Oryzias latipes: one gene and its partner. The protein of the gene in region 2 purifies or fractionates together with the protein of the main gene of each other region. This does not show direct contact. Links are inferred from orthologs where the notes say so. Each region holds a gene or a part of one and is shown on either strand. Other genes may lie near its edges. The genes, in order: c17h21orf2 and nek1.

Evidence for each region.
Region 1: the proteins of nek1 (region 2) and c17h21orf2 purify together in Homo sapiens (affinity purification with mass spectrometry; 3 studies listed by BioGRID and IntAct, with this or other methods). This does not show direct contact. The link is inferred for Oryzias latipes from reciprocal best matches to the Homo sapiens genes NEK1 and CFAP410.

The regions. Positions count from the first base shown.
Region 1 is NC_019875.2:17,265,425-17,270,001, forward strand, and holds c17h21orf2 (protein C21orf2), read left to right. Parts: upstream 1-1,737; 5' UTR 1,738-1,789; intron 1,790-2,291; coding exon of another isoform or gene 2,292-2,294; exon of another isoform or gene 2,295-2,394; intron 2,395-2,534; exon of another isoform or gene 2,535-2,670; 5' UTR 2,671-2,687; coding exon 2,688-2,764; intron 2,765-2,928; coding exon 2,929-2,947; intron 2,948-3,020; coding exon 3,021-3,067; intron 3,068-3,144; coding exon 3,145-3,374; intron 3,375-3,466; coding exon 3,467-3,617; intron 3,618-3,710; coding exon 3,711-3,807; intron 3,808-3,897; coding exon 3,898-4,050; 3' UTR 4,051-4,294; downstream 4,295-4,577. Other genes in the region: rpl37a (60S ribosomal protein L37a), read right to left, coding at 1,362-1,444, 1,609-1,737, 2,292-2,294; orc2 (origin recognition complex subunit 2), read right to left, coding at 4,409-4,492, 4,568-4,577. UniProt on the Homo sapiens protein: Plays a role in cilia formation and/or maintenance. Plays a role in the regulation of cell morphology and cytoskeletal organization. Involved in DNA damage repair.
Region 2 is NC_019862.2:1,046,397-1,050,212, forward strand, and holds part of nek1 (serine/threonine-protein kinase Nek1), read left to right. Parts: coding exon 1-47; intron 48-175; coding exon 176-241; intron 242-399; coding exon 400-459; intron 460-531; coding exon 532-579; intron 580-3,231; coding exon 3,232-3,312; intron 3,313-3,383; coding exon 3,384-3,544; intron 3,545-3,611; coding exon 3,612-3,734; intron 3,735-3,810; coding exon 3,811-3,816. UniProt on the Homo sapiens protein: Phosphorylates serines and threonines, but also appears to possess tyrosine kinase activity. Involved in DNA damage checkpoint control and for proper DNA damage repair.

The DNA of each region.
Region 1 (4,577 bases), on a different chromosome or scaffold from region 2:
TACATTTAGGCAGAAATCTAAAATTTTAATGATGCTTATTTATTTATTCTGTTTTTACAGGGAAAAAAAATCTTAATGAAAAACAGTCACCTGAAACATCTTACAGATGACTCAAACCCCTCTAATAAGTTGCATCTTTCTCCATCCAGATGTTTGAGAGTCACAAGTAAACCACAGGGGGTGGTGGTAGTGTCCTCTCAAATGGACAAACAAAAACAACAACTAACTAATTTAAGACTGATTTCTTGCATGTGGGAAACAAATGTCACATGACACCAGTCAAGCTACATTTATCAACAGCCACTTTGGCACCAAACCAACTAAATACTTGTTCCCAAAGAAATAGTTTAAACTGAAGATGTTTTATATTTACGTGAAGACCCACTCCAATGAAAATGGGGTTTTTAAAATGCTCCTGTGGCCTTTTTCTGACGATGGGGGACCAAATGGTTATTTAGGAGCAAAAGAAAAATCCATTTGGAAAAGCGTATTAGTAATGTCACCCATAAAAATAAAAATTGTGCAAGCTTCCCAGTTCGTTATGGGAGGTGAGCGTGATCCACGCCAACGATCCTGCTCAAAACTTAGGGGTGAATTTCTAATGAACTGGTGCTGCTCTGCAAACTTTTTCCTATAAAACGGAACAAATTTTGAGATTTTGGCTAAAAATGACAGAATTAAAAAAAAAAAACACTGGGAATGCTTTAAAAGAAGCTCAAAGAACTCTCAAAATGATTGCTTGAAAATAGGAGTTTGTTGACAAAGTAAAAATCTAAAGAGTTCTTCCATCTTAAACTTTTATCTTTATCACATCCTTACTGCAGCCCCTCAAAATAACTCAAATGTAATCATCAGTTCTGACAGAAATCATATAAATCTACTATTTTATCTTCATCGTTAATTTCTAACTAAAAATCCGTTTTAAAACACTTGGAGATAGCCAAACTAAGTTTTGAGAATCACAGGTTTTAGGTTACACTGCACATACTCTAAACATTGTGCAACAATGCAATGTGCATTTTGATTATTTTAATCAGTTTTTGTGCTTGTTCACACAAACATATCTGACTTTAGTTTTTTAATTAGTCAAGTTGAATATTTGCATCACTTTTGAGTCTGCAACTGGCCTCAGTTATGAACACATTCTGCTAGTGCTTGATATTGAGTAATGTGGCTCTGGGTGGATTTATCCAGCCAAAACCACCAGCAGAAGATGATCTTAAATATGCATGCATGCAATGACAGATTCAATCAGGGGGTGATGAAGAAAAACAAAACACTAAGAGATGTTTTAACAGTTGGAAATAAATTACCTTTACAACAAATGATCAAGATCAACACAGACAAACACGATCTCTTACTTGTATGTCCAGGCACCCCCAGCCACCGTCTTCTTGCAGGACCCACAGTGCCAGATACCAACGGCCCTTCTCTTCATCTTAGTCTGCACAAAAAAAAAAAACAATCAGGTTTCAAAACCAGAAATTTTCAAGCACATCATTTCAAATTTCACGATTCCTATTTATTGAAATTGTAGAAGGATTAACAAGTGAGGGCGCAAGGACCGCAGGGACACCTTACAGGTAGAATGTTTACAGTAGCTCTTACCTTGCCACAGAAGGAGCAGGTGTACTTCGCATGCTGGGAAATTTCAATTTTCTTGACCATCTTCCTCAGCGACGCGCCGTAACGTGTCCCATATTTACCGACGATCCCCACCTTCTTGGTGCGCTTGGCCTATGGAAGGATAATAACCATAACGATTAATGACGCTAAACATCACTGGAAAGTATGTCAATGCATGAAAACGGAAAATGACTTAGCTAAAATGTTGGGATTGTGTAACTGTTTTTTTTTTTTTTTTTAAAAGGGTTCACAACCTCTCGGAGCCGCTTAGCTACAATGGAGTGAACGCTAGCTTCAACAAGCTAACGTTAAAAAAACTCCAAGCTCTCGAGCATGTTCACACATTTTGCTGAATTTTTGGTTCTTCGCCTACGTAAAGCCGAAGGACAAAAAGAAGACGCAGTCTGAAAAAAATAAGGTTCCAAAGTGATATCAAAAAGACTAGCTCGCCCGGCACTTGGGCTCTATGATATGGTGGCGGCCATTTCTGTTCCAAACATGAAAACATCATTCATTTAGATGGGATATTCATCCAGTAAATGCATGATACTGTTTCATATGAAACAAGAATACCATTACAATGTAATACAAATGGTTATTTTATGACTTTAGCCACAGGAATGGTTAGATTGACATGGATTGTCAACGGGAAACCCTTGGCTCACCATCGTTTCAGTGGAGACGTAGGTCCAAAGAGGGATTGCGTAACGCGCAGGCGCGATTTACTTCGTCGCCCACTTTGCATTGTGGGAAATTGATTTTTTACATGAACGCCATAACTCAAGAATTACGCTTTTCGGCACTTTTTATTTTGAATAAGCGTTTAATTGTATGCTTTTGACAGACACAAAATGCAAAAAATTAAAGTTAAAAAAACTCACGTACGCCGTAACTAAGAACGCGTTACTTGGTGTGCGCATGCGTATTTTCGACGTGAACAACGACATCCCTCTAGCTGCACGATTGAAATGTTGTGGCTGTTATGATGGACCATACCTTGTTTTTGAGGTTTTATGTAATTGAAAGCATCTTTCCTTTTTGAAGATACCAGGAATAATGCCATGAAGTTGACACGGAAACTGGTACTTGCTAAGGCGAAGGCCTCGGACTTAGAAAGCGTAAAAAAATTAAACTGCTGGTATGTGTACAGCACCAACTCTCAAGTTTTATGGGGGTCTAGTTATATTCATTCATGTCTGTCATTTATATCTTTACCACATGCTTTTTAATAGTTATAATGCTGCTTTTTATTGCTATCTGATACTAATTACTTTTTCAATTGATTTTTCTATCGTCTTGTAGGGGATGCAACCTGACTGATGTGAGTATTCAGATAATTGCTTCCATCTTGATCTTATTCTAACTTCTGTGCCTGAATTTATGTGTTTTTGCAGATTTCCATCTTTACACAGATGCCCAATATTGAGGTGCTCGCTCTGAGGTTGGTGCATTGAACTCTTTGACATCTATAATGAAATCTGAATTCCTGACTGGAACACTACCTTTGTCCATTCACAGCGTCAATGGCATCTCCACGCTTTCACCTCTGGCTGGCTGTTTATCTCTGACCGAGCTTTATCTGAGGAGGAACCAAATTCCCTCCCTGTCCGAGCTGTCCCATCTGCGTCCGCTGCCTCGCCTTAGGGTGCTCTGGTTGGCCGAGAACCCCTGCTGTGGAACAGATTCCAGCCGCTATCGCCTCACTGTTCTGCGCTGTTTGCCTCGTCTCCAAAAGCTCGATAATCAGGGTGGGTGTTAATGGAAATGCAGCCGTTACCTAAAGCTGTCGAGGAACTTCAACTTCACGATCCCTCTGTTTTTGTTTCTGTTTGGTGTCCAGTGGTGACCGAGGATGAGGTCGCTCTTGCTCTCCTGAATGGTGAAGAAGTCAGAACCCCTCCAGGCAGCCTACCTATCCAGCTTTCCAACAACGGTCATCAGGATGCAGAGACAGAGAATGACCCACTAAACTACAACATGGAGGAGACCAAGTATGTTTTGTGGACTAAAGCAGAACTAACAGAAAGGCACAAAAAAATGAAATAATTTGTCGAAGAAATTTAGACAAATGGTTTCTCTTTTAGCAAAATCAGACAGGGGTTGGGAATGAAGCCTCTCTCCAGGGACAAGTTTTCCTCTCCTTGTTCTCCGTCAACCAGAGAAAAACCAACAATGAGAAGGGTAGCTGCTATTAGCATCGCTGCAGTAAAACTCATCGTGCTGATGTTACATGAAGTTTTATTCTAACTAGCGCCATCTTTGCATTTTCAGACTCACACAGTGGATGCGATTCTGCTCCTGCTGAGGGATCTGGATGAAGAGGAGCTTCGGATCGTTCACACAGCCACGCTGAACAGGCTGCAGACCTACACACTGGGCTCAGGAGAGGCTCAGCCACTCACAGCCCACACAGAAACGCACTAGAACTCACGATAACGGCATGCATTCAGCTCCAAAACGCATTGGAATGTAAAACTCAGGACTTTGAAACAGAAAATGTGCACAGGATGACATTCCTCAGCTTTTCTATAATAGAATTTTAACTTTTATTTCTGCATGTGTACCTAGCCTTATGGGAAAAAATTATGCATGTTTTTTTCAAAATGTATACATTTATTTCTGTAATTAAAGAGGAAAAATAACAGCAATAAAATTACCTATAAATTGAGCTTTTATTTATCTGAATTAATTAGTTTACAAAGTGAAAAGTGGTGGTACTAAATCCTTGACATCATTTAAGCTTGTTCCGATGGACTTAAGCTTCTGTCCACAGATCAGATCCTCAGTCCCCCTCCTCGTTCTCCAGGAAGTCCATCAAAGTGCTGGCATCCACAGCGACAGTCAGGTACTCTACTCCATCTGCGCCCTGGAGGATGATGTCACCGAGGTCAGAAAAGCGATGTACTATGAGAGTTCAGAAGACCTATGAAAAGGAGTTCACCTTGCGTGTC
Region 2 (3,816 bases):
GAGCCAGAAAGCCCTCAGACAGGAGGGCAGCTCTAAAACACAAACCAGTTTGTATTTTCTTCACTTCTTATGTTTTCAGCTAAATTGCATTTTTCTAGTTTAGTTTCTTCCTGTAAGATAAATGTTTTAAATGTGTCACTCGTGGTTTTTTTTTTTAATTGAATGTGTTGCTTAGGCACCTCTGCCAGCAGCCCACCTGAGAAGAGGGAGTCAGGTGGAGGAGGAGAGGAAAAAGCAGGAGGTACTTTTATCAGAGACTTCCACTCCTGTCTTTCTTTGTCCCTATGACTAGTATTATCAAGGTTCCCCTTCATTTGCTCTTTTTCTGGGTTCATCCCTGACACCAGACTTCCCCTTTCTGTCAGATCAGTGAAGAGGATTTCTTTTGTCTCATTGCAGGAAAACATGAAGAAGAAAAGGATGGAGCTGATGGAGAAGGACAGGAGACAGAGAGAGCAGGTTATTGCACTGTTTTCTTTCAGGAAAGCTTTTCCTAGTTGTTCCAGCCTTTCTGAAAAACGTGTCTTTCAGATGTTCATGCTGAAAGCAGAGCAAATGAAGAGATGTGAAAAAGAAAAGGTGAGCATTTCAGGAGCCATCTGCCTCTTTGTCTGTATTTCAAATGCAGTTGAATGCACTTATTTATTTATTTGGTTCCTATTTCCCCTCACTTGAACAATTACCCATGAACAGCTTAGTTTAACTGGATAAAATATACTTCAGTACATGAAGTTTTAAACCCAAATCCTTCTTGTTTTTTGGGTTGTTTTTTTTACGTGTTAGGTTTCATTCAGAAAGTGTATTCTTGCCTTTTTATCCAAATCCCCCAATGTACTTGTGTATCATGTATAAAAGGGCCTACAGCTCCACGGGGGCAGAAAAGGGCAGATATTAATCCTATTAGACCTGTCACAACCAAACACCGTTGGTAGACTTAAACCAGGGGCGTCCAAACCTTCAGCAGAGAGGGACAGGTGTGATGAGGTAAAATCTATGACAGCCAACCAACCAGGCTGCAGGATTAATGCAAGTAAACTATTGAATAAAAGTATAACTGCAGCCTGAGAGGGAGAAGATGAATGAATAAACCTGGATTTACATCAAGGAAAATAACAAACGGTTCTCTTGATCAGTAGTGCAAAGATCAGAGAAACAAATGTTTCCTCTCGTTGGGCCCTTTAGGTTCTGGAGGTCAAGCAGCTCTTTGTTCACGTTTGTGTCATTGTCTACTCCTCTCAAAGATCAGTAACTGAGAGGTGTCTAATGAAAAACTCTCCTTCCATTTCACATGAACTGTCTTTAATTCTCCGGACCACAGAGTTACAAGGCAGGCAAACTCCTATAACTCTCGCTTCTTCTTAGGACAAATGTTCTGCAGCACGTTCATCTGACAGTCATAAATTCATCGTTAGTGAAAGGTTTGCAGTGCTTGGCAGTCGATGTTTTACCTCGTAGCTCTTCTTTTGTGGTGCTTTCATTGGACTCACGGGTCCTTGTGGAAATCCAAAAATTAAAAGCCACTTTCCAGTTCATATTCTGCTCTGTTCAGTCTCGGTTCAAAATGGCCACAGTCTTTTGGGATTGGAGGTAAACACAGTTGTTTCATATTTCAAGCAAATAAACACTCCAATTTCCACGTGTCCTTGGACCACGCATGCCGCCGGCTCAGGCAGTAGAGCAGGTTGTCCAATAACTAGGGTTGGGCGATGTCCCTTAAATTGGCCGTTGACGATGTTTGCTGTCAACCATCGGGATGGACGATGACATCGTGGGGGGGGGGGGGGGGGGTATTTTTTACATTTTTCGTTCTTATATAACTGCTATTCGTTTTTTGCTTTTTTCATTTTATTTCCCTACTGATGACTAATCCGCGATGATCCAGTATAAACTGAGGGAGGTGACTTTAACAAAAAAAGTAACAAACAAAATAGAAGAGAAGTAGTCCGCTCCCGCACTTCCGGGGGAGTGCGGACTTACAGCTTTGTGTTTGATGGGAAGGGGGGGGGGGGGGGGGTACATGAGCGGTATGTGTGGGAGATTTAAGACTGCGATCCGTCCCGCAGCTCTAGGGGTACAAGCAACCGAACTCAGAACCGGGTCTAAAAGTGTGTGTCTGTGCACAGCTCGGATCGTCAGCACACACAGTGGTTTGAGCTTCAAAGCAGAAATGTCGCTCAGTCCTTAAAAAACATTTAAACAATCACGCGGATTTGTGTTTCCAGTCGTGTCCCGACTAAATAAAGGCTGATGTTATTCTTACATGTTTACGTGCAGCCAGCAAGCAGAACCACCCAAAGCTAATGTTGTTAGCCCGTGTTAGCATACTGCTAATCCTGGCTTCGTTCAGAAAAAGAACTGACCACACGGATTAAAATTCAAATGATGAGCGAACAGGTGTTTCATAATAACCGTAACATTATTAAAAGCACGTTTAGAAGATCATCTCGTATTTTACCGAGCTGACATGTCAATGTATATAGCCGCTCGGCGCTGTTTAACAATGTTTTGTATTGAACTGTTACATACAATAAAGTTTGAAAAAAAAAGCCGCTCGGCGGAGTTTATATCCTTCCGTTTTTCAAACCCTACTGCGCATGTGCGAATGGTTTATTCCGATGGAAAGTGTGACCTTAGTGAACGTTTTTATATTCTGAAAACATTTTTCTGGGCCCATGTACACGGTTGGATTCTAATCCAACCATTGATCCCATCAAGATATTTTGTACATGTAACCGCGGCTTATGGTGTCGACGCGCAACGTGGCGGGGGCATGGCATCACGATGGTGGTCTCTCCATCGGGATGTCAGTCACCCATCACGATGGACGATAATATCGTCCATCGGCACAACCCTACCAATAACCAAAGGGTTGGCGGTTCAATTCCTGCTCCCCCCATTTAACTGTCGTTGTGTCCTTGGGGGACACTTCATCCTCCAGTGCAGCTCCAGTGCAGTGTGAATGTGTACGAATGTCGGAGGGGCCGTAGGCGCCAACTGGCAGCCACGCCTCTGTGGCTAACGTTAGTGGTTCAATAAAAATGGCCCCAGGGCAGCTGAGGCTACATCAGTAGTTACCCTCACCAGGTATGAATGAATAATGGACACATTGGAAGCGCAGATAAAATCCAATCCATTATTATTATTTGACCCGTGGGCTGGACTTTGGACGTGCCGGATTTAACTATAAGCTCTAGAGAAAACTGATGAAATCCTGCCTGTGATTTCCCTCAGATCACCAGAATAAATCAAGCCAGAGAACAAGGCTGGAAGCACATCCTGACTTCAAGTGGAGGCAGCAGCCCAGAGAGAAAGGTAGTTCCACCCTTCAGATGTGTTTCTTTTCAGACTAAAGCTGGTCACTGCTGACAAGCTTTTGTATTCAGTGTTTTGTGAGAGCTGTGAAGCGGGCTGCTGGGGCTGCCTCTCCTGCTCCCGCCTCCAGCAAGAGCCCCCCCGAACAAAGCCACCCTGCCTTGGACCAAACGGCCAAACCCCAGCATAAAGATGCCAGCTGGCTCTCTGCGGGACCGCGCAGTCCCCTCCGGTATGACCGCGTCCTTTAATGGGAAACATCACAGAACTCTTAGTGTCGGGTCTCTGCTGTGTTTCAGAGGTGAACCGGCTGCAGCAGGTCCGGTTCTGCCCAGCACCTCTTCCAGGCGCTTCAACCACAGTGCAATCAAGAGGGAGCTTCAGAGGCTGCAGTGCGTCTCCAAACACGTGCACATTAGCCGGTGAGTGGATCAGTCCACGACGGATCTGAAGGAAACTGGAGAAGACGAGCTGCTGTAATGTGGGGTAATGTTTCAGGCAGCG